Lytechinus pictus: one gene and its partners. The protein of the gene in region 2 purifies or fractionates together with the protein of the main gene of each other region. This does not show direct contact. Links are inferred from orthologs where the notes say so. Each region holds a gene or a part of one and is shown on either strand. Other genes may lie near its edges.

What was found.
Region 1: the proteins of cell division cycle protein 27 homolog (region 2) and dual specificity protein kinase TTK-like purify together in Homo sapiens (affinity purification with western blotting; 3 studies listed by BioGRID). This does not show direct contact. The link is inferred for Lytechinus pictus from reciprocal best matches to the Homo sapiens genes CDC27 and TTK.
Region 3: the proteins of cell division cycle protein 27 homolog (region 2) and mitotic spindle assembly checkpoint protein MAD2A-like purify together in Homo sapiens (affinity purification with western blotting; 29 studies listed by BioGRID and IntAct, with this or other methods). This does not show direct contact. The link is inferred for Lytechinus pictus from reciprocal best matches to the Homo sapiens genes CDC27 and MAD2L1.
Region 4: the proteins of cell division cycle protein 27 homolog (region 2) and anaphase-promoting complex subunit 7-like purify together in Homo sapiens (affinity purification with western blotting; 23 studies listed by BioGRID and IntAct, with this or other methods). This does not show direct contact. The link is inferred for Lytechinus pictus from reciprocal best matches to the Homo sapiens genes CDC27 and ANAPC7.

Annotation. Positions count from the first base shown.
Region 1 is NC_087248.1:13,113,393-13,120,472, reverse strand, and holds the start of dual specificity protein kinase TTK-like, read right to left. Parts: upstream 3,017-7,080; 5' UTR 2,945-3,016; coding exon 2,875-2,944; intron 2,098-2,874; coding exon 1,872-2,097; intron 1,283-1,871; coding exon 1,176-1,282; intron 562-1,175; coding exon 421-561; intron 1-420.
Region 2 is NC_087245.1:15,602,463-15,610,083, forward strand, and holds the start of cell division cycle protein 27 homolog, read right to left. Parts: upstream 3,003-7,621; 5' UTR 2,927-3,002; intron 1,489-2,926; 5' UTR 1,430-1,488; coding exon 1,341-1,429; intron 880-1,340; coding exon 754-879; intron 1-753. UniProt on the Homo sapiens protein: Component of the anaphase promoting complex/cyclosome (APC/C), a cell cycle-regulated E3 ubiquitin ligase that controls progression through mitosis and the G1 phase of the cell cycle.
Region 3 is NC_087262.1:14,784,666-14,792,014, forward strand, and holds the start of mitotic spindle assembly checkpoint protein MAD2A-like, read right to left. Parts: upstream 3,004-7,349; 5' UTR 2,642-3,003; intron 2,405-2,641; 5' UTR 2,142-2,404; coding exon 2,066-2,141; intron 134-2,065; coding exon 1-133. UniProt on the Homo sapiens protein: Component of the spindle-assembly checkpoint that prevents the onset of anaphase until all chromosomes are properly aligned at the metaphase plate.
Region 4 is NC_087246.1:28,910,634-28,917,630, reverse strand, and holds the start of anaphase-promoting complex subunit 7-like, read right to left. Parts: upstream 3,029-6,997; 5' UTR 2,926-3,028; coding exon 2,854-2,925; intron 1-2,853. UniProt on the Homo sapiens protein: Component of the anaphase promoting complex/cyclosome (APC/C), a cell cycle-regulated E3 ubiquitin ligase that controls progression through mitosis and the G1 phase of the cell cycle.

The DNA of each region.
Region 1 (7,080 bases), on a different chromosome or scaffold from region 2:
ATAAGTTTCAGCAATGATTTGTATTAATATTGCTGATTACATTTATATATTGATCATAAGATGTACTCTATCGCATGCATTAAAATGCAAAAACATGTATGTAAGGCAAATCTTTGAGAGAAGCGGCATGCTAGCTCAGGATGAAGCAGCATGGGAAAAGTTTGTCCATGAGGTCATCAGAAATGACTCAACAGCACATACATGTATTATATTGTTGTGTTGTTGCAGGAACGCCCTTAGCACCATATTTTCGCGCAGCGAAAACTCCCTTAGTTGCGCCCATAAAGGCATTGCGCAAGGGCGTTTCTGCACTGATAGGGTACGCGGAAGTGTGATGCTAAGGGATATTCCTGCACCACCACCACGATATACAAATGATATAGAACTCAATTGCAGTCGATATGACAAAATATAACTGACCATCATGGGAGTCCATAGCTTCTTGTGAATCAATGAGAATGGGAAGTCCGTTCTTGACCCGGTGAATGGCCTCGGTCAGCTTCGGGTCAGAGGTCACTTTCAGACCCTTCTCCAGGATACTCAGACATTTCTTAACATCACCTGAGGGGACAGAAACATGAAGTACAGTATTTAATATTGATCAGTCATTTTTAAAATGTTGTGTTGTGCATGAAAACAAATAACAAAAGACATGTGCAACTTCTAATTCTTGAACAACATCTGGGTCTCGTAAAAGGTTTAGATGGAATGTTTTGATAGGAAACAATGATTCTGACTGATTCAAGGATGGTCTTTTTAACAAGGTGTGCGTGCAGCACTGATTTTTCAGATCGTGGGCCATTGCCAAGTCATGCATTTCACGATTCATACGTGCAAGCTTGCATTTCATAACACATTGAACACTTTCATACTCATTTCATAATTATTAATAACTGAATTTCCAATGCATCTCACACTTAACATTCATGTATTATTTTATAATTGAGTATTTATTACGAAAAATAACAATTAACCAAGTCCATCTATAGGGTAAATGGAGTTAAATACAGAAAGCTCATACAAAATTTGTTTTTGCCTAAACACAAGCCCATTCGGTGTGTAATTTATACAACCAAATCCTCACTGGACTAACATAAAAATAGTTTCATTTTGATTGATTTACTAGAAATGAACTATCATGGACTTCGGCCATTCTCATATACTATATTATTTACCATGGGTTTCTTCAAACTTTGCAGCCTCCAGATGAACAATGGCTTGCTTTCTGACATTGGCCCGGGCAAACTTGAACATCAAGCGTCCGTCATCCACATCACGGGTACTAGGAAAGAAACAATATTTAGGATTTATGCCTCGTTTACATGTACATATCATATGCAATATTAAGTGAAACTTCAGAATAAACATAAATTTCACATTTTATATCCCATTTGGTTGAAATTTCAGATATGCCTGCTTGATTTTCTCTGTATGTATTATTCCCATCGACCTGTTGAGGTGAACATAACCTGTGAGCAGACATAGTCTCACATTTTAGGCAAGAGAATCCCACCTTTGGGACTCTTGTTCATCCTCTAAAATCTTCTTCTCACGCCTGTATCAGAGTCTATCCTCATACACATACATAATGCCTGTGACCACATGCCGAGCAACATGAAAGTCTGATGCATACATGTAGCTGGTCTTTGAACTTGGCATCTCTGCGTGAGTGAATATACACGTACAGAGCCCTGTAACACAGAGGTTAGTGATTAATCGCTAAATGAAATGGCCTATCATGATCATCGTTGCATGTGCATTTTGCTCAGTAGGCCGACGAAGAACCAATCAGAACTGATCTTTCAAATCAGCGATTGATCGCTAACCTTTGTGTTACGGGGCCCCAGAATGTCAGAACAACTGATGCTTACGCTTTGAGGTGAGCAAGCTTGATGAAGATCCTGGCGTAGGCCGGGTCGTCGCGGTACTTGTCGATGGGGATCTGCTTAGTGGCACGGTTGTAGGCGAGACTCAGGAACCTGTAGCGACTGGTCTCCTCTGCATGTAAGGTGTGTGATTCTACCAGGGAGAGGTAAGCGAGCCATTCATTGGGTTTGTTACCATGCCTATCAAGCTCTGACATCCATTCTGTGTGGTCTGTGAATGAAAGAGAACATTCATTTTTTATATGGATCAATACAATATCATCTGGGCTATGTAACACAAAGTTTTTCAATCAATCGCTAAATACAAATTACCAATCAAGATAATCGTTGCATGCGCACTCTGTTTAAAATACTGACTGGGAACAATCAGCGTGGTTCTTTCATATTGGAAATTCATCGCAGACCTTTGTGTTACGGAGCCCTGGTGCCCATTGCAGAAAGATTTTCAATCAAACGCAACTCTAAAAATCATATGCAACTTGATTTTCATCCATTTATAATCGTGCATTTGGAACATTTTTTTACTTGCGTTTAAACTAAAATCTTTCTGCAATGGGACCCAGGTGCGTTTATCACAAGGCAAGTAAGTTTTTATCTTTATTTTCTGGATGATCATCATTGCAAAATACAGAGAGAACCAATGTATCTATGAATTTTTGAAAGTCTGATTGTGCTAACAAAAGATATTGTTTTATAAAGTTCTGAGTTCAAAACATGCCCCTTTTTTAATCAATGGTGGCCTGACATCTATTTTCAGTTTCCTGAGGGCATTTCATGTAATAAATAGTCAAATATTTTCACAAACTATTTGTTGTAAGCTGATGAAATCATTGCATCTGATTGGCTCAGACTGAAATATTCAGTTAAAATCAATGAGCACTTGTTTCGTGAAGTGCTTCCATCATGTCCCTGTGCTACTGGGCCGCTGCTGATAATAATATTGAACCTTTGGTATACATTGAGTGCCACATAATAAACTTTAACTTGCCTGTCATACTGTGAAAGCTGGCCAGACTGGTCAGGTTGCCAGTGGTGTTATCCCGTGTGTTCCCGCTCATCTTGGCAATGTCTCCTCAGACAATGCAACAGCAACAATCTGCTATACACACAGGATAAAAGAATATCATTTGTAAAAAAAAAAATAGATCCAATCATTGTCAGCCGCTAATGCACTACAGTAGCTACATGTACATGTACACTACACAGTTTGTGCAGAGTACAATAGTTACATTATTTTAATGAAATATTTTCTAGACAGTAATAACCGTGATACTGGTACGATTATTACGGTATGTGAAATAATTGAAACTATGCAATCAATTGCCTTGCATTGCGATTGAATCACATCACCAGCGTGCTTGGAAGATTGTAGCCTAAACACCGGTGGATTTTTGTCGGTTTCAAATTTTGCTAAATTGCATGTACATGTACGTCAAGTAATACAAGGTCGATGGCATCATTGCAGTGCCTAACAGGGAAGTGATTAACAAACTGTGGCAACCAATTTGGTAATTCCCTGACTCTGTTTTTGTTCTGTGTTACAAAATATGCCTGGCTTCAAGTCATCAACATCAGATGTCAATTGAGAAAGTTATGACATTTTTAAATATCTCTGGCACCGGAATTCACAGAACAGTTATACATGTACGCACATCCTAGCCGTATGTGGATGAGGGAACAGATGTCACAAACTCACTATTTCATTTAATTGTATTTTACATTTCAAGTAACTATATGGAATATTATTATTTTCTCCTCATTTACATTTTCAAACTACAATGTAGAATCTATTACTTAGTTTCACTACTGTAGGTCTGTAACTGGAGACTTCGCTCTAATGGCGGCTGGGGATATTAACATATTTAGGTATTACATGCAGATCACAGAAATTAAGTTCTATGGTACCAGTCCATTCACTGCCTTTGTTTGTCAGTGTTGGACTGTTGGTGTCAGGGACACCCCCCTCCCGCAACCCTCCCCCCGTGCGTGCTTCGCACGCACCGAGGCCACTGCGCGGCTTCGTCGCTTCGCGTCGCCAAGCGTCAGAATGAACCTGGCGAGAACGTTGGTTGGTGATACATATATGTATGTATCTTTCCACTCCCAATGACTTTGTCAAACAAATAAGTGCACACACACTGTACTGTACGCAAGGAGAGTGGTGAAAAAATACAAGGCCCGATTTTTGCCCAAAAATGTAGACCAAAGGAAAAAGATTACTTTGTTTTATGTCCAATCTGAATCTTGACAGATTTTCCAGAATCACTACTGTTGTAGATTTATCTGTGCCACACAATCTAACATTAGTAGCATTTTCTTTTTTCCCCTTTAAAGTCAGGCTTTGACAAACGATTGATTCAAGGCATCCACTAAACAAAGAGGCGCAGCATTGTGTGTATTAGTTTAAAAACAAAGCTTTACGAGTGTGGGTGCTTGCATCTCATATTTTTCTATCCAAATTATGACTGTTACTGATAATAATTACAGTAAAGTGAAGTAATTATATTTTTAGTATCAAGATGCTGGTCAGAAAATGAGGATAATGTACATGTAGTCCAAGTTTACAGGGACTGTCTCACCTCAGTTTTCAAAGATTTCTCCACACAAGAAAAAAACTGAACATATTAAAAATATCTGATATCAATATCTTACAAACTGCAAATTTTATGTTCAATTATACTAATCACTTGGTTCCAAGCAATTTTAATTCAATGTTTATACGCAATACCCAGGTTCATGAACACAATACCAGAGGTTCTAACAATTTTCATCTTAGTAATCCCAAAACAGTACTTGCTTATAAATCCATTAGACATAGAGGACCTGATGTTTGGCACTCGCTGCCTTGTGAAATTAAAAAATGTTCTTCGCTTTATTCTTTTAAACGTAAGCTAAAAAAACACATTATATCATCATATGACTCATAAATCTTCTTAAAGTGTATTTTGATAATTTATATATTGTTACACTGGCTTCCAGTTCCCGATGGGGGAGGGGGGGGTTAGGACATTCGTATTTATATTTTTTTCATCCTGTTCATGTCATCATTTTAACCTATGCCAATATATGTATTGCCATGATGGCACTCGGGGTCTGCCTCGTCAAGACCTTTTGGTCTTTTGCAGTCTCCCAAATTTCATTTTATATTTATGTATGCTTAATTGTTTTGTTGTATCTTGTATTTTTATTGAATGGAATTTGAATAAATTGAATTGAAAAAAAAATGTGGTTTAATAGCAAACACAAATTTAACATCTGCTCAGCTCAGATTCGATATTAAAAAGAAGCAATCAAAAAGTAAACTTAGAATTTACTCATGATATGATATATGAAGAAAAAATCACACAAATTCTTTCTTACATCATTATCTTTACCCGTCCATAATCATGATGTAATTTGTCACGCTCAAAAACATTTTTTTTTTTCGTGGAGGGGTAGTAACTATTATGCGACAAGTGCGATGCCGATGCGAAGAAAACGGTTGGTAAATATTATATACAATAATTGTAATATCATATTCATAATTTTCATAATAGCAAGTGCGAATTTTTCTTGATTGTGTTTCCTCTAGATGTCATTTTTAAAGCACTTAAATAAAGGTGTCCGGCAATACTATAGGATACATACCTCGGGCGATGTTCGTGCAGGCTCCACTCCACTTCACTACCGCTACACTCCGCTCCACCTACCCAAACATCGGGACCTTGAACCATTTCGGATATACCGAGTCACAAAGGTGGGATGGCAATCATGATAATCGTAAAAATTAAACAAAAAAATATAACGAAAAAGATGATTGACTTAATATCTTACTCTACACCCGTATTTCATTCCGTTTCCATCCTCCGGTTATCCTCAAAATTGGTGATTTTGGGCAAGTATTTTTTTTTTCACACGTACATGTATTATTCACGGCCGATTTCAAAACATTGCATGCGATCGCGATCTGTCGCAGGTCAAACCGATCGCGATCGCATGCAATGTTTTTAAATCGGCCGTGAATAATACGTGTGAGGAAAAAGATACTGGCCAAAAATCACCAATTTTGAGGATCACCGGAGGATGGAAACGGAGTGAAATACGGGTGTACAGTAAGATATTATTAAAGTCAATCATCTTTTTTGTTTTATTTTTTTTTGTTTAATTTTTACGATTATCATGATTGCCATCCCACCTTTGTAACTCGGTATATCCGAAATGGTTCACGGTCCCGATGTTCGGGTAGGTGGAGCGTAGTGTAGCAGTAGTGAAGTGGAGCCTGCACGAACATCGCCCGAGGTATAGGATACACTCCCGGGGGGGCCACTTCCATTGATGAGTGGATACCATGCGCGACCATGGGGTCTCGAAAAGCACCCTAAACACATATTTTCCATATTCTGAAAATGCACCCCTTAACAAGTAATGGCGTCTGAAACCCTACCCTTAACAAGTATTGGAAACAAAACGATACTCTACTCCCTGAAATGAGCCCCTTAACGAGTACAGCGATATTTTATTGTTATGTCACGGGTCCGTCGGTCGTCGGTTTTACCTTTACACACCATTTGGTTTAGTATGGCCCCACCTTCCACACCTCGCGCAAATTGGACTCTAAACACGTAGTGTTGGGGCAAAAAGGATATCCTTTATAAAACATTTTAAGTTTGTTTTATCATCCCCGCAAATTTGACCCTAAACACGTAGCTTTCCTAGCGAAATAGATACCCTTTTTTCATTATTTTTGTGTTTTTGACACCCTTAAGTTTAACACGTTACGTGCGTAACGTGCCTTATCTTGAAAAAGACATCCTTTTTACGTGTTTTTTTGGTCGCGCATGGTATCCACTCGCCAATGTAATGCCCCCCCCCCCCCGGGGATACACTGCTATACCCCGGTACTACATGTATGGTAGGGGGTCCTATACCTCGAGCGAAGTTCGTGCAGGCTCCACTCCACTTCACTACCGCTACACTACGCTCCACCTACCCGAACTTCGAGACCATGAACTCGATCGGATATTCCGAGTGACAAAAGGTGGGATTTTATGGGGAGAAAATACAAAATTTAAGCAACATCACGATCTTTAAAAACAAGTACAACTAATATTCTTACTTTACACAAAGTTTCACTTCTTTTCCATGCTTCTATCAGTCTCAAAATTGATGATTTAGAGCCAACACGAAGTTCCTCACACGTAATAATTCGCTGCTG
Region 2 (7,621 bases):
TTTTAAATGGGCTCTTACAGTGAAAGCTTACACATTATTTTGAAAAGTGTGCGCCAGAATTGACCTAACTTGTGACAAGTCAAACTGCGCCGTACGCTGCGCTGATGGAACAGGGGAATTTAGATAATCAACATAAATCAGCTTTAAATTTTTGACTGTGTATGGTGCACCGATGATCATGATAAAGTTCTGCGTTTTGAAAAATCAACATTCAACACATCCTAATTGACCTTCTTGTTCGCTGAATATGATACTCTAAAAATACATGCACTATAATTGTAATAAAAATATTCATACAATATTATTATTTTATAAGGGAATATTCCATCAGAAATTACCACTGTAAATTCTAATATGGTTTAAATGAATAAAACTGTCGTTAATAATTCATTTCATTATTGTTTTTATTGAAAGGTAGGTAGGTTTCAAACAAAAGGCATGCATGTATTAATCACTTTCCATTTCACACTCAATAATCAAACAAAGCTGTGAAAATATACTGGGACCCGATGAAAATGGTAACTTGTTATCAGTGACTTTTCAGCATATCACTGGTACAATTACCACAACAGGTGGTTTCAAGTTTGGCATTGGAAGCTGGGTTGGAACCCAGAAGCCCATAACACAAAGCTTAGTAATTAATCATACACTTGATGATTGCACATAATGATCAATGCAATAAATTGTGAAAATCAGCACTACCGGGGGGTAAAACCCTTGCTAAGCATTGTGCTACCAGGGGCCACATATTACCTGCATAATTTTCCTAGTACTGAGAGTGCATAGGGTGCTGATTCTTTAAATAATGATACGACATCATCACACGTATTGGGCTTCATTATTGGTGATCCTGATAATGCTGTTTCACAGTCTGATAGCCTTAAAAAAATTAAAGAAAAAAAAAATTAATAATGATAATAATAGAACAAGGTAAAAATAATTGCCTATATTACAATGAAGTATTACATGCATATTATAATCTTATTTACGTTTCCACAATTGGTAAAATATGTACTTCTGTGTTGTGCATAGTTACAGACAATATGATTGACCATAAAAAAAGGCATGTTCAGGAATGAATCAAAACGAATGACTTAAGTTGTAGAAAATTATGTGGAATAACAACATGAATGAGCAAATAAATCAAAATGAAACACACAAATCCTCATTATGCAAAAATTGACTTGGTATATAGTGTACTACACTGGTGATCGACAATAATGATATATAAAAAATAGGTAATCTGACAACCACTAATAATGTGTGAATTTCTGAATTCTTCTTACTCTCGCATAAATCTTTTCTAACTATAGTACCTAAATGTCATACTTAATACTCACTTCTCTAAATCCAGGCAGCACCTGGCCATAAGGAATCTGCAAGCTGGAGTCGGACAGCCTTTGGTCTGTAGCAAGGTATAGGCACTCATTGGCTGGCCTGACCGGTAATAACAGGTGGCAAGAAGGAATAGACCCTCATCTGACCCAACTAAAACAAAGAACATGTGATATATGGTCAGGGGGGAAAAAATGGGTCTACATGTTACACTTCAGAAATATCCATTTCTTCCGCCTGTATTACGTGATTCGAATTAGCAGCTGTGCTCACTTTAAAAACAGCTACTGAATAATTATTCACAAAAGAAAACACTCATATTATACACTGGTAAAAATAAGTTAAACAGCGCTGTTTACTATGTGAATCGCACAGTAGTTGTTTAAGCAGTTTAAACAAGTGTTTAAAATCTTAAACAACCATGCTTGAATTTTCAATAATTAAATTTGAATTTAAACTTTGTTGTTGAAGATTTTAAACACTTGTTTAAAATGTTTAAACAACTACTGTGCCATTCACATAGTAAACAGCGTTGTTTAAATCATTTTTAACAGTGTAATAAAATACTACATGTATGTCCATTTACCCAATATGACCTTTGACCACGATATGTGACCTGAGACGTGTGCAAAATAATCATTCATATTTGATTACCCTTACATGTATGTCTATGTTTCATGAACTACTTGTGTAGATCCATAAACTTTCTAAGTTATGATGCCAATTCAACAAATACCCCAAACACGGCCAAAGTTCATTGACCATAAATGACCTTTGATCTTGGTCATGTGACCTGAAACACGCACAGGATATTCAGGGATACATGGACACTCTTATGTCCAAGTTTCATGAACTAGATCTATAAACTTTTAAAGTTATGATGACAATTCCACAAGTACCCCCAACATTATAAAAATTTTGTTGACCCTATTAAATGACCTTTGACCTTGGCCATGTGACCTTAAACTCACACAGGATGTTCAGGGATACTTAATAATTGCTCTTACGTCTAAGTTTCATGAAATAGATCCATAAAATTTAAAAGTTATGACAATTCCACAAATACCCCCAACATGGTCAAAGTTTGTTGACCCTAAGTGACCTTTGACTTTGGTCATGTGACCTGAAACTCAGGCAGGATCTTCAGTGATACACACGACATTTCAAAAACTTAACCTTGGTTAAGATTTTGATATTGATTCCTCCAACATGGTCCAAGTACATTGACCCTGAATGACCTTTGACTTTGGTCATGTGACCTGAAACTCAAGCAGGATGTTCAGTACTTGATTACCCTTATGTCCAAGTTTCATGAACTAGGTCCATATAATTCTAAGTTATGATGAAATTTCAAAAACTTAACCTTGGTTAAGATTTCAATGTTGACGACGCTGCCGTCGGAAAAGCGGCGCCTATAGTCTCGCTCTGCTATGCAGGAGAGACAAAAATCAATGAAATAGGTACACACCGATAACCGATAATTTACCTGGGCCATTTTGCAACTTACTGAGTCTTTTTCAATTTTTTTTTTGTACATTTCAGGGGCTAAACTGCCCTTACATCTTGACAAACTGTATTTCAACACACATACCTTCAGCATAAAGTCTCTCTGCCAGAAAGGTAGCATCTTCGTAGGCATAATGGTTTAAGCACTGCCAGATGGCCGCCTGAAAAAGGAAAGAAACGTGAATAGGACATGAAAATTGTGAAATTAAGATGTGCTGCATGCGAGAGTCACTGACTTGCACTGCACCGCGCATAATGAATGTATGCAACCAATAAGTTGCAGTGACCATTCGCTCCCGTATATGCCAGGGGAAGGGGGAGATCCCCTTACCTTTTCAGAGAGGGAAGGATGGCCTGTACAATCACCCATCCCCCCCCCCTTCAAGACAGCATGAATGTAATACATGAATTTATAAATAAGCACTGCCAAAGTGCATAAATGGCCTATATTCATTGTAATTCATATCATGGCATCTTTGTGGAAGTGGAGGGCAATTTGTTCAAAGTGCAAACATACGCCTAGTCACCTACCCCACTTTTCAAGGTAGATTACATGTACATTGTAAAATTAGTTATTGATGACATTGACCAAATTAATGCCACTATTAAAACATTAAAGGACAGCAAAATTTCCCATATCTTTATAAATTTTTACATCTATTAATTGACAAACAATTTAAAAGATAATGCAAAGGCATTTGATATTTTGTCCAGAATTTTAAAAGCTGCATCATCTCTGAATATGATTTTAATCATTCAAAATCTGTATTTTCTGCAATCTTTTCCTTTTCATTTGCATCATTGTGCTTATTCCACTTTTTTGGAATTTTTTATTGCGGTCTGTGATGGCCTGTCACAAGGCAACTTTATTCCTGATAATCAGGATCCCATCTTATTATCCTTCTCTAAGTTCTCTTCTCACCTCTAACCAGTGAGTAAATTGAGTTTTTGATGAAAAATATTGTTCTGTTTAATCCTGATTTGTTTGTTCTTTATATTTCTTTTTACATAACATGAGATATAACAAAACATTAAAAAATGCCTATAATTTGCAATGACACTGCAGTGAATATTGTCTGTGTATGCATGTAAAATAGATTACATGTATCTACCATTTGCACCCTTTCTCATCAAATCCCTGAATCGTGTGTAAAGTGAATGGGTGTTCAGACATGGGGTACCGTTTTTTTTTCAATCTGAAAATGACTGCCCGAGGTTTTTCCAAGAAAATCCTATATTTCTTTCAAATTCTTATGAGATATTTGGTACACTTACTCATAATATAACAAACATTATTAACTGAAAGATTTTGTGAAAGAAAAAGAAATTCATATATCTTCACTCATTATTAGATGCGCAGACTTAAGGACCACCATCTTACCACTAAAAAGTTAGATCTAGACTACTGAATTCATATTTTTTGTGCAATCCAAAGTCAAGACAAAAAAGAAGGCAAAATTTTAAAGTGTCCGGACACTGGACCTCCCATGCTACTGTATGCTTCTCAGAATCAAATTATTCAGAATACCAATTTCGGAAAGAGTTCTTGCGACAGCCACCCAAAATAACAAAAGGTTGTCGAGACTTCCGGTTCATTCACTTCCTGTTTCTCTCACGTTAGATCTATCTTTTTATTTTTAGTGTTTCTTAACTCAAGTCGTTGCAACTGCAGTCAAGATTCTTCCCGCTATGCTAGGGAGAAGCGCTGATAGCGGAAGGGGTTTTCTAGCGACCATAAGCCGATACTTCGACTAGTCTAGGCTTTCAGACCCTTTATGGTGGTGTGACCTTAAAGGTAAATTGTGACATTGGTTTATTTCAAAACTTTCTTTTAGATTTCACTCTTCGCTTTTCAAAATACTCATAAACAAGTTCTGAGTCCATAAAATGTATTGCATTGGCCAAAAGAACTGTTTTTATTCTCAAAAAAATATATAAAGAAGAGAAATTTTGCCAAGTGAGCTTTCTTTTGATGCAGATTTTGAAATTGATATAAAAAATGAAGAGCGCCACCTTGAGACCAAATGACATCAATACCTGCTCATGAATATTCATATCCATCGCCTCTGCGCTTGTCTCACGTGCCGATCTGTATACCGGCTATACAGTACAGTATCGGATTGAACGGCGGAGTCTGTTTGCGACTTTTTCATTCATATCCTGTAGGAGCGTGTGCATTCGCGCAGTCCCTCGACGGCAATTTAAATAACTTGGAAACAACCAAGGAACTTTTTTAAATGACCATCATAATAATTGTGATGTTATGCACGTTGTTTTTCAAATCGCGGAGAATAGGTCCTAGACGTACATCTTGATATCTGGGCAGAGTACCAGGTACCGAGAGACGGCTTCCTTCCCTTTCCTTGCTTTTCATCTTTGCTTCGTTTCTCTAGCTGTATTTTTTTTTCTTTACTTGTCCAGGGTATGAAGGGAGGGAGAATTATGGTTGCTTGTGAAAGGGCTATTCTTATTTTTTTCCCCGTTTTTTATTTCTATTTTATAATTATATTTACATACGCATTTTTGTTTCGATTCCGATTCACTGAATCGTTATCAATTTCTTCAGGTTCTGTATTTTGATTTGTTCATTATTATAACGTGTTGTAACATTTTTTTTTAAAGGAAAAGGAAATCATTTTGTATTGAACTAGCTTTGCCGCCATTCTTCATTATTTTGCTTTGTGCGTTATATAGGCCTATAAGATGCTCTTTCTCTTCCAGTGATTATTTGTCAATATACTGCCTCAATGTATTTATCACAAAAAAATGACAAATACCGCGTGGCCTATGCCTTTTTTTTTAAACAATATATTCTGGGGCGGATCCAGCTTTCACTAATAACGGGGCCGGGGTGAACAATATTTTCATCCACATTTTTCCCGATCGATCGGCAGCTCAAAGCTAGTTTTTGTTGGAATCTATAGTCGTAACAGTACTAAACCCTATAAAAAATGCGAGCGTGAGGTATTATTTTCGGACTGTGTATATTGTGTCCTGAAAATTGATCTGAGCAATATGATCATTAAACAATTAAGATGCACACTGACGGATAAGGTGCTCAAAAATTTGAATAAGTAAAGGCCTATTTAGTTCCCTTGTTCGTTTTACTATAAGCCCTTCAACAATGTTTCCGTGTTTTGTATTACATTGATCAGTTAATATTTCTTTATGTCTCATACTATTTCGATATGAATTATACCTTGTCATTGTACTTGTTACTATGATTTTATATACTAATAACTCTGAACTTGTGAACCTGTTTAACCATGACTGAATGAATAAATCAATAAATGAATTGGTATAGATGAATATATGTTCCATCGAACAGGCAATGCGAACACAAAGCGCGGGCTAAATTGTTTTTATACTTGTGTAGTGACATGATTGGCTCCCACCCCTCCCCAAGTCTGAATTCCCCTCACCTTTTTTTATTCATTCTTCCTCTTATATTTTGTCACCCCCCCCCCCCCTCTGCTTTCGTTCATATTACTTTGCGCCGCCAATATCGGGGGGGGGGGGGGGGGCGTAACGTCGGCCTCCTGGATCCGCCTATGATACCGGTGCGTAGGTCTGTATGTTATAACCATGTAACATCGATCCCCCTCCAAGTTTCTCTTTGCATTTTTCTTTTCAACTTGTTATGGTAGTATACTGAACAAGAACAAGTATGACGTCTCCTAGGTGCCTCTCCCTCCACCCACTCCTCCTCGGTCGGCTGCATGTGCTCGGATAATAAAATTACGTACTTATCATGGTGATATATATATAATAAAATTGCAAATTTTATTGCAAAAACTGCATTACTCGTGAATTTGTGTTTCGCATTTCTGATGTCTTATTAAATATATATATATATATTCGAGGACATACAGCTAGGCGGAACTATTTGGGGGAAGGGGTCTTCCATCTCTGTGTGATTCCGAAGTTCCGATGATGGTTCAGAGAATGTACTTCATGCAAAATCACGTTTTGGCATGACCTCTCAGCGCTGGGCATATCGACGGACAAAAAAATGCAAAAATGTGATGGATCGAAATGGTAAAAAATATATATTTTAAAGAAAACCATCGTTATAAAATGCAGTCATACCAACATATTTTTGTTAATACCAGTTTGAACTTAGATAAAAATTATAACCCGAGGCTATATTAGCAGCAGGGGCGGCGGAACCGGGGGGCGGCAGGGGCACTTAACCCCCTATACATAAAAAAATCCCAGTAGGAAAAAATGCCTTTTTTAAATGGAGAGTGCACTTATTTCAAAATGATGTACATGAATGTCCCTTTTCAAAATAAAATACCCTTTTTGAAGTCAAACGATACATTTTAGGTTGGAAATCACAAAATTTTTGGCTCGCGCTTCGCGCCCACATCATTTATTTTTTAGGAAGGCACTCACTTTGTTTTGGTTACAACTTGTGCTTATAATGTTCAATTTTCAGGTTTAAATGTCACAAATCTTCAGCTCGCGCTTTCCGCTCGCATCAAAGGTACACATTATGTTCTTGGTTTCAAACTGCTTAGAATATCCAGTTTTCAGGTTGAAATATTACAAATTTTCGGCTCGCCGCGCTTCGCATCAATTATTATTTATTAAGACACACAATTAAGTTCTTGGGTTAAAAAAGTGCTTAGAATGTCCAGTTTTCTGGTTGGAATATCGCGCTCGCGTCCATTCTTCAATTAGATGCACATCTTTTTCATAACAAAATTGCTCGGAATGTTTGATTTTCATGTCTTATTAGTCATGTTAGTACAAGCAATGTCTAGAATTTATAGCT
Region 3 (7,349 bases), on a different chromosome or scaffold from region 2:
ATGACCGTTGACAGGTAAGCTTTGAGGTGTTCATCTGTGGTCGTCAGAAGGGGTAACTTATACATGTCGCATCTTGCAAATGTCTCTGCTGGATAGATGCCACGCTGGTACAACAAGTTATTGATGCCATAATCTAGAGAAAGAAAACACAATTACTAAACCCATTTTAACTGGGCCATTTCAGACCAACATATACTGGGGGGGGGGGGGGGAATTTCACCCCCCCCCCCCACTCAGATCTCGGCTGTTGATTGCGTGATTGCTGTGAAAATTTGCACGCACATAGAGCCGGATGTAAACTGCAAGATTATAAAGTAAAATTTTCAAAAAATTAATTGCTTATATTTTTTATTAATTAAGCAAATAAGCGTATGAAATTTGCCCTAATTTTGGTTTTTGTGTATGTTTTTGCCTTTAATAACTCAATTTATATAGCTAGTAGAATGCAAATTTTTGGTGAACATATAGATTTTTACATTTCTAACAAAAATCTACAAAAAAATTGCTGAAAAATAATTAATTTCCTATAGTCTATGTAGATCTATCTTAATTTCTTATTGTTTTTTTGGCATTATCGTGGTTTATGTCACCAGTCCATTCATTGCCTTTTATTTCGTCAGCGGTGGTGACATCTTTCCACTCCCATTGACTTTGTACACAACGATCGCACACACACCGACACACACGACAAGAGAGGTGACAAATTTCACGATAAGGCCGTTTTTTTTTATTCTTATGTATTTATTTGTTTTTTCAAACCTTTGTTTTTTATTGTTTTTTTTTATGAACTCTGTCTGGGACCCTTTTGCATTCATAAATATCATAAAATAAATCCATCTACTGATCTAGGTCTAACGTTAGACACCAACAAAAGTAAAAATAATCATTTATGATGATGATTTTTGGTTGAAAAACACAATTTGCATTGACTTAATCACGTTTTTGAGCAATTTTTGGACCGCCATGCACTTACAAAATATCGCGTAATTTCGGAAACGGGTACCGTAAGGGCACTAGTATTGAACCCGTTTGGAGAGTTTCCTCAAATATATAGAAATATAGAATTAACCTGAATTTCAGACCCATCTTATTTCCAAGACTAAAGAGCAAATACTGCATACTGGTTATTCTTTTTCCGTTATTTTTTCCTTCAACCCATCAACTATGTGTGCGGGCAATCGAATTATACAACGATGGTTTTTGGCACTAGTATTCAACCTAGCGATGAAAGATGGCCCTGTCTCTCAATCTGCCCTTGACCTTGTCCCATCCGACAATGGACTAGATCATTTGAGACGAGACCAAACATAAACAGGTAATTAATCAAAGCCAGCGCCAGAGACTTACATAGATCTAGTTTAGCAATCTAAACCATTTTGAGATTCGCTATCTATCATCACTAGGTTGAATACTAGTGCAATTCAGTGCAAAAGGTCATCGCCGCATAATTCGATCCTTCACGCATACAGTCGACAGATTGATAACTTTAAAGAAAATACCGACAACAGATTACCCTGGAAATAGTCAACTCAAAGGTATGATTCTGAAATTAAGATGAATTCCCTAATCAGACCTATTTCTAAATATTTGGGGGAATTTGTCAAAATCTTTGAATTATGCCGGGTTGAATACTAGTGCCCATACGGTACTTGGGCGAGGCAAAATCGGTCTCAAAAGATGAGCAAGACTTGAATTTGAAAGTAAAGTCAGCGAGCGACGGCGACGCGTTCAAAAAAATTTGCGCTGCGGCATAGCGGAAAATTCGAGGGGGGGTCAAATTAAGAATGCCACATTACAGTCTAGTACTCTAAAAGTTACATCTGTAGCAAAAACTCAATTACAATATCAAGGAAATTGACAGGTCGACAATAAATTAAATTTATGCAATCAGCATCATAAGATTTTGAACATGGCACAATTCACAACGAATGGGACTGAACTAACTCCATGCGCGTAACTCTCCCTCGAGCGCTCCACTGAACTAAACTTCTTTAAATTCATCGCTTCAACTGGGAATTTACCGTCATCTAAGGAATAATATCGCTTGAGTTGGAAAGATACTCACAGAAGAATTCTGCAACAATTTCACTTGATCCTTTCAAGGTAATTGTGTTTTTAGTTTTAGTAGCTGTCCCCGCCATTTTTCGATCTTCTCCGAGCTTGTAAACAACGTGATGTGATTGGTCTATATATCCAGCCTCCAGGGTCGTACTAGTCTAGACTCTGCAGGCATGTCACGTCAGACCTTGCCTTGATTCGAATAAAAAGAGAAAAATCCAACAAGCAAAACATTGAAAATTTATCAAAATCGGATGGAAAATGAGAAAGTTATGACGTGTTAACATTTCGCTTAATATCACAAAATAGTTATATGCACATCCCGGTCGGTATGCAAATGAGGGAACTGATGACATCACTCACTCACTATTTCTTTTGTATTTTATTATATGAATTATTAAATATTTTGATTTTCTCGTCATTGTCATGTGAAATGAAGTTTCATTCCTCCCTGAATACGTGGAATTCCATTATTCTAACATTTTGTGGTTCAGACAAGGAGGTCCTAATCGTCAAATTCGTAAAAATTGAAATATTGTATAATTCAAACAATAAAAAACAAAAGAAATAGTGAGTGAGTGACATCATCGACTCTCTAATTTGGATGTAACTGGCTCGTTCATATAACTATTTTTTTAAAAATAAGCGAAACTTTGAAATGTCATAACTTTCTTATTTGACATCCGATTTTGATAAAATTTTCAGCATTTTGTTGGGGTGGACTAGACCTTCAACACATCCACAAGTTTTCCACGCAAAGACTAACTTGCTGTTTCAATTCCCGAGTGAGAGGGCCTTCAGTGCACAATGCATCAGTTAGCTGCACATTCAGACCCTTAACTTGAGTGAAGGGTTTGCACAGCATACTAATCTCTAATATTCAGGGCCCTGTGCTATAGAACGATTTTTTTTACTGGGGGTGCTGATGTACGTAATTTGACAAGCAAAAAAGAAAAAATATGTTTAAAAAAAAGGTTTTCACTACATGAGTGTAGGTAATTATCGTAACCTTTCTCCATTAGTTTTAACACCTAACATAATTCCTGGGTTGCTGCCCCAGCAGCACTCCCAAAGAAAATTTTGGGGTGCTTCATCCCAGCGCCCCCGCTTCCCAGGGCCATGCTAACGGTAAATTATAATTAGAACATCTTGGCGGTATACACCCATGCTTCCGCGGGCGGACGGGATTTATTTATTACCCTTCATAATGCAATAATGCAGTAATTCAAGTGTTACCGTTTCAAGTCAGCATCTCGCTCATCGATCGCATCGATGATCGCATCGTGACCATCCTGAAAGAGGAAATAACTCGTCTAAAACTTCAGCTGTCTGAAGAGATTATGGATAATAGAATACTGTGGGATTATGTTAAAATGGAAATTCGAAATTTCACAAGAAAATATTCTAAGAAAAAAGCTAAAGAAAGAAAAGAGAAGGTTGATAAGTTAGAAAAGGAAATTATGAAATTGGAAGAGAAAGTTCAATTACAGCAAACATCATCGAACACAAATTATATTTTGATTGATCTTTTGGCAAGAAAAAGAAGTGAGCTAAAAACAATATATGCGTACTTAAATGAAGGTATTAAAATCAGATCTCGAGCCCCATGGTTTGAAAGTGGAGAACGAGAAACTGCATATTTTAAACAACTGGTAGATTATAATGGTCGGAAAGGTTTTATTAAAGAACTTAAAGTTAATGGAAATGTAATTAATGACGAAACTAGTATTTTAAAAGAAATAAAAGAATTTTATTCTTCCTTATATTCTAAAGGAGAGGTAGAACCTGGTGACTGTTTTTTTCCTAGTAACTTACCAAAACTAAGCGAAAACCAAAGAAATCATTGCGAAGTGAAAATAAACCAGGGGGATTGTATTGAAATTTTAAAAGAAATGCAATTAAATAAATCACCAGGAAATGACGGTTTAAATGTCGAGTTTTATATTACATTTTGGCAGGTAATAGGTGACCTAGTCTTAAATGCTTTTAATGATGCTATGAAATATAAAGAATTGTCACCTTCACAAAAACAAGCAATAATTACAATTATACATAAGGAAGGTAAAGATCCGATGTTTATTAGCAATTATAGACCAATTTCCTTGCTTAATGTAGATTATAAAATCCTAACCAAAATACTTTCTAAAAGAATTAAGACCATTTTGGATAATATTGTGTCAGGCGACCAAGTAGGTTACTTAACTAATAGGAATATTGGCGATGCTGTAAGAATAATAAACGATATGATTTTTCATACATCAAATTTTAATAAACCAGGATACTTAGTTGCAATCGATTTTGAAAAGGCGTTTGACTCAATTTCACATTCCTTCCTTCAAAGGGTGCTTAAATCGTTTGGTTTTGGGCCGATTTTTAGTAACTGGGTTAATGTTCTTTATACCAACTCGCTGAGTTGTGTCTTTAATGGGGGGAAATCGACCGGTTATTTTGCAATCGAGAGGGGGCTAAGACAAGGGGATCCCCTCTCCCCTTACCTTTTTATACTTTGTATAGAATGTTTAACGCATTGTATTCGTAATGATAATTTAGTAAAGGGTATTCGATTTGGTGAAACGGAAGTTAAACAAATACTTTATGCTGATGATATGACTATATTCGTAGAAGATTTAGATTCAGTATATAGACTAGAATTAATTCTTGAAAATTTTAGGAAGACATCTGGACTTAGGATGAACAAAAATAAAACGTTTATTTTGCCTCTAGGACCCTCTGTAAGCCTTACTCACCCTTTCCCTTTTGGGAAACAAGTTGATATGGTTAAAATTCTAGGTATTGTCTTTTCATTAAATCCTGACGTTGCTGAAGAAATGAATTATAAAGAAATATTAAGCAAAATTAAAAAGTTATTAAATTGGTGGAAACAAAGAGATCTAACTTTGTTTGGAAAGATTCATCTGCTAAAAACATATGCATTTTCTAAATTGATTTATGTAAGTTCTTTAACGCCTATGCCGGAATGGGCTTTTAAAGAAATTGAAGAAATTTGTTTCGACTTTTTATGGCGAGGAAAAGATAAAATTAAAAGAAACACATTGTATCTGGGATATAAACAAGGGGGAATAAAAATGCTCAATTTTAAACTTTTTGTAATGGTACAGAGAGTGATGTGGGTCAAAAGACTGGTAAACGGTGACCAGAAAGTGAAATGGAAAAAATATTTCAAATTTCTGCTAAGACCATTAGGTGGTAATTTAATTTTTTACTGTAATTTTACACCTGATATGATCAATATAAAAATTCCAAAGTACTACCAGGAAATGTTAAGTATTTGGTTTGATATAACTGTGTTCATCAAAAAGGACATAAGTAATAAAAGAAATGAAATTTTTTTCAATAACAGGTATATTAAAAATGAAGGAAAAGCGTATTTTCATGAAAATATTTTCTTAAAAAACACATACAAATTGCACCATATTGTAGATGAACACGGTGAACTTAAATCAAATACTTATTTTAGATCTATGGGTGTAAATGACGACGAAATAGTAACAATTAATGAAATATTTGCACATGTTCCTGTAGAATGGAAAGTCGAATTAAAAAATAATACCTTAGTTGATGGTTTGAAGATTGAATTTATTTTCTTTAAAAATGTTTTCCAGTTTGAGTCAGTTTGTTCAAAACAGCTGTATAGATCATGTATAAACAAGATTGCCGACACTCCTGTCAGTTTTTACAATCTCGAATCGTCATATAACATGTCTGAAAAAGAAATTGAAAAAGTATTTTATCGTCCAAGATTTTGCACATTAGATAATAAGTTAAGAGAGTTTCAATATAAATTATTATACAATATTATCTTTGTTAACCACCATTTATATAGGTTTCGATTTGTATCGAGTAATGAATGTTCTTTTTGCGGTAAAGATGAAGAAACTTATAGACATATTTTTTTACGAATGTGAAATGGTTAAAGTATTATGGAAATTGTGTAGCAATATATTAAAATTTCCGATTCTTAAAAGCTTACAGTGGAAGGATATCCATGTTGGATTAGAAGAGACGACAGAAAATAGACAATTATTAAATCATATCATTTTACTTATCAAATTTTTAATATATCACGGAAGGGGGAATCATAAACTACCAACTGCTGAAGAGATAAAAGTAAAGCTTTTTAAAAGTAAAGAAGAAGAAAAGAAAATTGCTATAGAGCGAAAAACATTAACACAGCACTATAAAAAGTGGGAACACCTAAAAAGCAATTAATTAAGTAGGATGAGGAAGGGATGGCTTTATCCGGTTTGCACACGTGCGGGGTTGGCTGGTCTGTCTGTCACTATAAACTGTCCGCTTTTCTTTACTTTGCATGTCACTTATCTCCTTTCTTTCTTTCTCTTTTTTTTTCTTTTTCTCTCTCTCTCTCTCTCTCTTTCTTTCTTTCTTTCCTTCTTCCTGCTTTTCTTATTTTTTGTATTGTTTTTGTTTGTATTGTCTAATTGTTTTGTGTCTTGTCTGTGTGTGTGTGTGGGGGGGGGTTGGGTGTGAGAGCGATTTCGTTATTTTATGGACGTGTGTGGGGAGTGAGCTCTCGAACCCTTTCCGGTTTTTTTTATATTATAAATTTCATTCAGTTTAATCAATGTCGAGCAATCAATTTTCTGCATAGCTATTGTATGATTTTGTGAATTTATATTGGTTATTAATTGTTGATTTTTGTTACTGAATTTATCCACTGTATATCATATATGTTAATACCATGACATGAACGATTATTTGTATTATGGATAATTATTTGTCTTTTGTGAACAGTGTTTTGTTAATATTGATTTGTAATATTTTACAATGTACCATTACTTTGAACTGAATGATTAATAAATATTATTACAAAACAAAAATCCTGTTCATCGTTTCAAAAAGTGCATAGAATCTGAGCTTTGGGGTCCGGATATCTTTTTTTTTGCTCGCGCTTCGCGCTCGCATCAATTGTTTAGAAAGATACCCATCGCGTTCATGGTCACAAAAAGTGCTTTAGAATCCTCAGGTTTGGGTCGGAATATCCAAAATTTTCACCTCGCGCTTCACGCTCGCATACAATGTTTAGTTCGATAGCCATTCTGTTCATGATTACCAAAAGAGCTAAGAATGTCTAGATTTTAGGTCAGATTACCAAAATATTTCAGCTCGCGCTTCGCGCTTACATCAATTGTTTAGATAGATATGGGTATACCCATCTTGCATGTTCATGGTTACAAAAAGTGCTTTAGAATATCAGGTTTTGGGTCGGGATGTCAAAAAAATTCTGCTCGCGCTACGCGTTCGCATAAAAT
Region 4 (6,997 bases), on a different chromosome or scaffold from region 2:
TCATCATGCAACTGAGGTATGTTTATACTCTAAACACTCACATTTGTATTTCTTGAATTACATCTGATAAATAAAATAAATAAATTAGATTTCTCACAGGCAGCCTCTCATATTTTCCTTTTAAGTCTCATACAATCAGACACTGTTGATTTTATTTACTCCATTCAAACCCTATTTTTACCTCAACAGATAACATATTAACGCATAATTTGCAAAATCATCATTATATACATGCATATGTATTCTAGAAAAAATCAGTATATTGAACTAATAAAATGTTGAAATTACTTAGTTAAATCAATTTTTATGTCGGACAAGGGTCTCTTTCGTTGAAATATCAATGAAAGGTGTCTCTAAAAGGACACCGTGTTCTTAATAAGGGAAATAATGAAAATTTCGATTTTATCCAGGGGCGGTATTCTGAAAATCGTGTTAATTTTCGTGTTAAATATCGTGTTATCTCTCTGATTTAACACGCCCCTAACATACCCCCAAATCGGTATTCTGAAAAGCGTGTTATCTGCATGTTATCTCATTTCGTGTTATCTTCAGCTCCTCCCACTCTGCATCTATTTAATCCAATCAAATGCGCTGTTAAAGAAACAAATCGCGCAAAATTTTCAGGGAAAAGGGGAATTGCGCGCTCGGTGACACGAAACCTGCATTGTGACATCATTTTGTAAGCGCATACAGCTAAATAAAAGTTAGGGCTGGAAATAGACACAGGGAGGGGTGATTGTGACAATTAAGAATTTAATTGAATTGAAATATTGAATTGAATAACTATATTGTCCATAGAGGAAATTCTTCTTTCACTGGTTTACACACATATGTAGATACAACGTGTATACACAGAACAGAACACAGAATGGAGTCAGACGGCGTGGATACAAAATTATGACAGGAGACAGATGCCTCGGTCGATTGGGGAGCAGGCAGGGGACGATCGCCCCTAAAATATGAGGGCAAGCATAATTCATGAAAAAATATATTTGAAATGTAAATTTTGAAAAGCATGAATAGCACTTAAGAAAAATTAAATCTGACATAGAAATATCAAACATACAAAATTGTAATTTTTTTTCTTTATTAAAATATTGGATGCGTATAGCGATCGATCAGCCAAAAAAAAAAATCACTTTTGCCCGCCCCCCCCCCTGATCCGAAGCATATAGATTGACTGGTGGGATAGATGAATTAAGGATAACCTAGAAGCATTGAGAGTTAAAAAGGTGTAATTATTGGAACTATATAACCATTGAAAAAGGGTAAAAAAATTGTGAATATTATAGAAGAGTTCCCAAATCGCCAATTCCATTCTTTTTAATTTCTGTTTGTGTTTTTTAGACGTTTTAAAGTTTCTTCCTCTCCATCCGTCTTTTTTTATAATATTGCAAAAAGTAACCAAATAAATAACTTATGAGCATTTATGATAAATATTTCAATTAATCAAAATCAAAGATGCATTTGAAGTGTATTTTCACAGGATATTCCAAAGAAAATGTTGTTTTATCATTGTTAGTAGAGAGATAGGTAGATGGAAAATAAAGCTGGAAAATGAAAGAAAAGTACAGTAAATTCTGCCAGACGATATACATATGCTCGTATATGTTCTTTTTGACGTTTGCGTCTGCTAGAAAAAGTGCAGCCATCGTCATCCACAACTTAACCTCTCCTTAATGCAGTGTTAAATGTTCGTGTTATCTTTGAACAAAATTTTAGCTAACACCAATATCGTGTTTTCTTCCTCCCTAACACCGCGTATGGGGGTTGCGCGTTGGGCCACGTGTTTTTCATGCTAACACGATTTTCAGAATACCAATCGTGTTAGCTAACACCGTTTTTGTGCTAACACGGTTTTCAGAATACCGCCCCAGTTGTTTGTGAATCTTGATTTTTTTTCCTCTTTTTACCTCATAAAGTACGCTCCATAAATTCTACAATCAGTAATAAATAAAACATTATTTGATCCCATTTTACTGAAATATATGATTTTATGAAAAGTCGTCATTCCGAAATAAAAGGTTCAGGTGACGATGAAGACTAAATATTTTTCCGATACTATATCGATATCAAACGATGTCGCGGACTTGAAAGACAAAATTGCCTTCGTGAAACGGAAAGCGCTGATTTGTCGCCAATCTTCCTATCTCGGAAGAATGGTCCTAGGACTTTCCTACGTATTGCTCATCTCGTCATGCAACAGGCCCCATGTCTGTAGAAGTATATGTCAAAATATTACAAAATATCAGACATGGAGTCCTCAAGGCTCAAGTCAGAGGCAAAGCCAAAGGTAGTAAACATTCGACCCCCTCTAAATTTCACATTTATTTTTTATGAATTTTTCAAAAGTGCCATTTTAACGCACAAGTCTAAAGACTATGGGGAATGTTTTACGCGCGTACGCGTGACACCCACAGGGATTGGACGAAGTACGCCCTCTCTAGCGTTATTAGCTAGGCCCTATATCTCTTGACTTGTAGGATGGGGGATCGGGTGTCCGGACACTTTATATTTTTGAAGCCTTCTTTTTTGTCTTAAGATTACACTAAAAATATGAATTCAATAGTTGTAATCATCTTCTATTTTGTTCTCTATAATATTTTCTAAAATTTTGTACTAAAATTTGATGAAACTTCGCTTGTAATTTTTTCCAAATGACTTTCTAAAATTGATCATCCGGACACACAACCTGTCCGGACACACAACAACTGGGTATATGATATGCAGACACATCACAAAAAATCATGAATGGGACTGAGGATGCTTCCTAGAATCCTACTACACTACCGGTACGTCTATGTAGTAGACGGAGACCGGAGTGTGCAGTACTTCAGAAACTTCATGCCTTACCAAAATAGACAAATTTCCAAAGAGTCCTTCCTTTCGCAGGAGGCGAATGTGATCCATCAACCAGACACCCATTCTGACGGTTTTTTCTTCCTACTTGCTGTGCTTAACTTGTTAACAAGTGTAAAATTCACACTCCCAAATTCAAGGTAGGCACTTATGAACCAAGTTTGAAAGGAGACTCGTAAAATTACGTCACTCTCGCCGATGAATATTCATTAGATCGTGGTCGTGCGTGTTCAATACACACTGAGTACAGCTGGCATGCAGAAAGTTATATGCGAGGAACTTTGGCTCTGGACAGAGACAAGTTGTCAAATAACGTGTGTGTGTGTGTACCATCGGCTGGTAGTATTCCATGCTGTTCTACAAACCGCGTCGGAGAGAGTGCATGGCAATTCGGTAAAACGAAGTTTCCGATATAAAGAGATAATAACACTATGTACAGTACGTTGAGAGGCAAATGTCAGATCAGGGGAGGCAGGAGTACAATGTTTTTTTTTTAGGGAAGAATAATGTAGAATAAAAGGTATTATATATAGCCAATTGATCTAGGTGAGGGATTAAGCTTATAGCGAACAATGATGTTTAAAAAAGAGAATGAATATACCTTACCTGAATATTATAATGGTGAAGCCAATTTAAAAGGAGGTGAGGCAAGTTTCAATGGAGGTTTTTAAAAAGAATAAACTGTACTACAAATTTAAAAGGAGGCGAGGCAAGTTTCAATGGAAGCTTTTAAAAAGAATAAACTGTATTATGGTGAAGCCATGCAATTTAAAAGGAGGTGAGGCAAGTTTCAATGGAGGTTTTTAAAAAGAATAAACTGTACTACAAATTATGGTGAAGCCAATTTAAAAGGAGGTGAGGCAAGTTTCAATGGAGGCTTTTAAAAAGCATAAACTGTACTACAAATTTAAAAGGAGGCGAGGCAAGTTTCAATGGAGGTTTTTTAAAAGAATAAACAGTATTATGGTGAAGCCAATTTAAAAGGAGGTGAGGCAAGTTTCTATGGAGGCTTTTAAAAAGCATAAACTGTACTACAAATTTAAAAGGAGGAGAGGCAAGTTTCAATGGAGGTTTTTATAAACTGTACTACAAATTATGGTGAAGCCAATTTAAAAGGAGGTGAGGCAAGTTTCAATGGAGGTTTTTTTTAAAGAATAAACTGTATTATGGTGAAGCCAATTTAAAAGGAGGCGAGGCAAGTTTCAATGGAGGTTTTTAAAGAGAATAAACTGTACTACAAATTTAAATGGAGGTGAGGCAAGTTTCAATGGAGGTTTTTAAAAAGAATAAACTGTACTACAAATTATGGTGAAGCGAATTTAAAAGGAGGTGAGGCAAGTTTCAATGGAGGTTTTTAAAAAGAATAAACTGTACTACAAATTATGGTGAAGCCAATTTAAAAGGAGGTGAGGCAAGTTTCAATGGAGGTTTTTTTTAAAGAATAAACTGTATTATGGTGAAGCCAATTTAAAAGGAGGCGAGGCAAGTTTCAATGGAGGTTTTTAAAGAGAATAAACTGTACTACAAATTTAAATGGAGGTGAGGCAAGTTTCAATGGAGGTTTTTAAAAAGAATAAACTGTACTACAAATTATGGTGAAGCGAATTTAAAAGGAGGTGAGGCAAGTTTCAATGGAGGTTTTTAAAAAGAATAAACTGTACTACAAATTATGGTGAAGCGAATTTAAAAGGAGGTGAGGCAAGTTTCAATTGAGGTTTTTTAAAAGAATAAACTGTACTACAAATTTAAAAGGAGGTGAAACAAGTTTCAATGGAGGTTTTTAAAAAGAATAGACTGCATTATATGGTGAAGCGAATTTAAAAGGAGGTGAGGCAAGTTTCAATGGAGGTTTTTTTAAAAGAATAAACCCTACTACAAATTTAAAAGGAGGCGAGGCAAGTTTCAATGCAGGTTTTTAAAAAGAATAAACTGTATTATGGTGAAGCCAATTTAAAAGGAGGTGAGGCAAGTTTCAATGGAGGTTTTTAAAGAGAATAAACTGTACTACAAAATTTAAATGGAGGTGAGGCAAGTTTCAATGGAGGTTTTTAAAAAGAATAAACTGTACTACAAATTATGGTGAAGCGAATTTAAAAGGAGGTGAGGCAAGTTTCAATGGAGGTTTTTAAAAAGAATAAACTGTACTACAAATTATGGTGAAGCGAATTTAAAAGGAGGTGAGGCAAGTTTCAATGGAGGTTTTTTAAAAGAATAAACTGTACTACAAATTTAAAAGGAGGTGAAACAAGTTTCAATGGAGGTTTTTAAAAAGAATAGACTGCATTATGGTGAAGCGAATTTAAAAGGAGGTGAGGCAAGTTTCAATGGAGGTTTTTTTTAAGAATAAACTGTACTACAAATTATGGTGAAGCGAATTTAAAAGGAGGTGAGGCAAGTTTCAATGGAGGTTTTTTTAAAGAATAAACCCTACTACAAATTTAAAAGGAGGCGAGGCAAGTTTCAATGGAGGTTTTTAAAAAGAATAAACTGTACTACAAATTATGGTGAAGCCAACTTGAGAGGTGAGGCAAGTGTAAAATGATGTTTTAACAAATAATGGATATTATGTAGAAGCAAACTTGAAAGGAGGTGAGGCAAGTGTACAATGATGTTTTAACGAAAAGGGTATTGTAAAGCCAACTTGAGAGGAGGTGAGGCAAGTGTAAAATGATGTTTTAACAAAGAATGAATATTATGGTAAAGCCAACTTGAGAGGAGGTGAGGCAAGTCTACAATGATTTTTTTTTAAAGAATGATAAGTGTAGAATATAATTCAAATGATGAAGCCAACTTGAGAGGAGGTGCATGAGGCAAGTCTACAATGAGGTTTCTAAAAACAATGAATAGTGAAGAAATAGATTGCAATTGCTTGTAATAATCCACAAAATTGTGTAGTTACTTATTTCATGCAAATTGATATTAATTGATTATGCTCATTTGTGCATAATTAGTATACTATACCAATTCCTCTAACTCCCCAAATAAAGCTCCAAATGGTCTAATTTTTGGTTTAGAAACTCTTTGTGGTGTTTTTTTTAATAATTCTTGGGTTTTGTACTTTTGTATTGCATTGTTTTTTTTTTCAACGAACTTTGCTGGGACTCTCGTAACAGCATAAAATAAATCAGTTTAGTTCAACAAAACTAAAAACAATTAGGCATTTATGAATTTTGGTTGAAAACGCATATTCCATTGACGTGGTATACACAAATATCACAATTTTGAGTCATTTTTGTCTGATATGTACCTTCAAATTGTTTGGTAATTTTCAGAACCCAGTACCCGGGCTTCGCAAAACATGCAAAAGACTTTTTTTTTAAATCACAGAGCTCAGAGCCCCCCCCCCCCCCCCCCCCTGCGTAATTAGGTTAAGTATGCATTAATTTTGAACATTTCTATTCCCCAAATATGTAATATCCCCTCCCCAAAAATGCAATTATCACTGAAATGGAATATACATAATATATTTTTTGATAAGCCAGGTTATGCAAAATAATCATCACGTCGTCATCCTTTGTCAACAAGAAATCTGAACATGTCCTCTGGAAAAAAAATAATACCTCGGCCGCCTATTAAATTCTAAGTTTTCATTTTGTAAGTATTTTACTTAGCAATTTGGCTGGCTTAACAAAATGCTTAAACTTGATGCAGATCAGATCTCAGAATTTACCTTATCCAAATTGAAGTAAATACTAATACCCATTGTGATGTTATAAATTTTGAGCCAAATAGTGCCAAATATGTGAATGTATTTCTGTGCGTATCATTTTTGTATATGTAGACTTAAGACTAGTAGATGGCTGACTTACATTTAAGCAAAATATTTAGCCAAAAAAAAATGCAATTGAATACCAAAGATGGATAAGTACTTTACTTTTGCAAAATACTGAGTAAAATATACTTAGAATTGTGGTTTTAAGAGTAGCATTGAATACCGGCCATGTTCCTCATCATCATTATCATCCCACTACCACACCAGTTTCTGCAGCACAAACTTTAACTTTCATAGGTTGAGTCCATTTCAAAGCCAACACTGTCACTTTAACTTTCTTTTTTCTCTTATAACATGACGTCCACACACTGCCAATCACATCATTACAACACCAACTGTCAGAGGACAACAGAACTGCAGTTACCA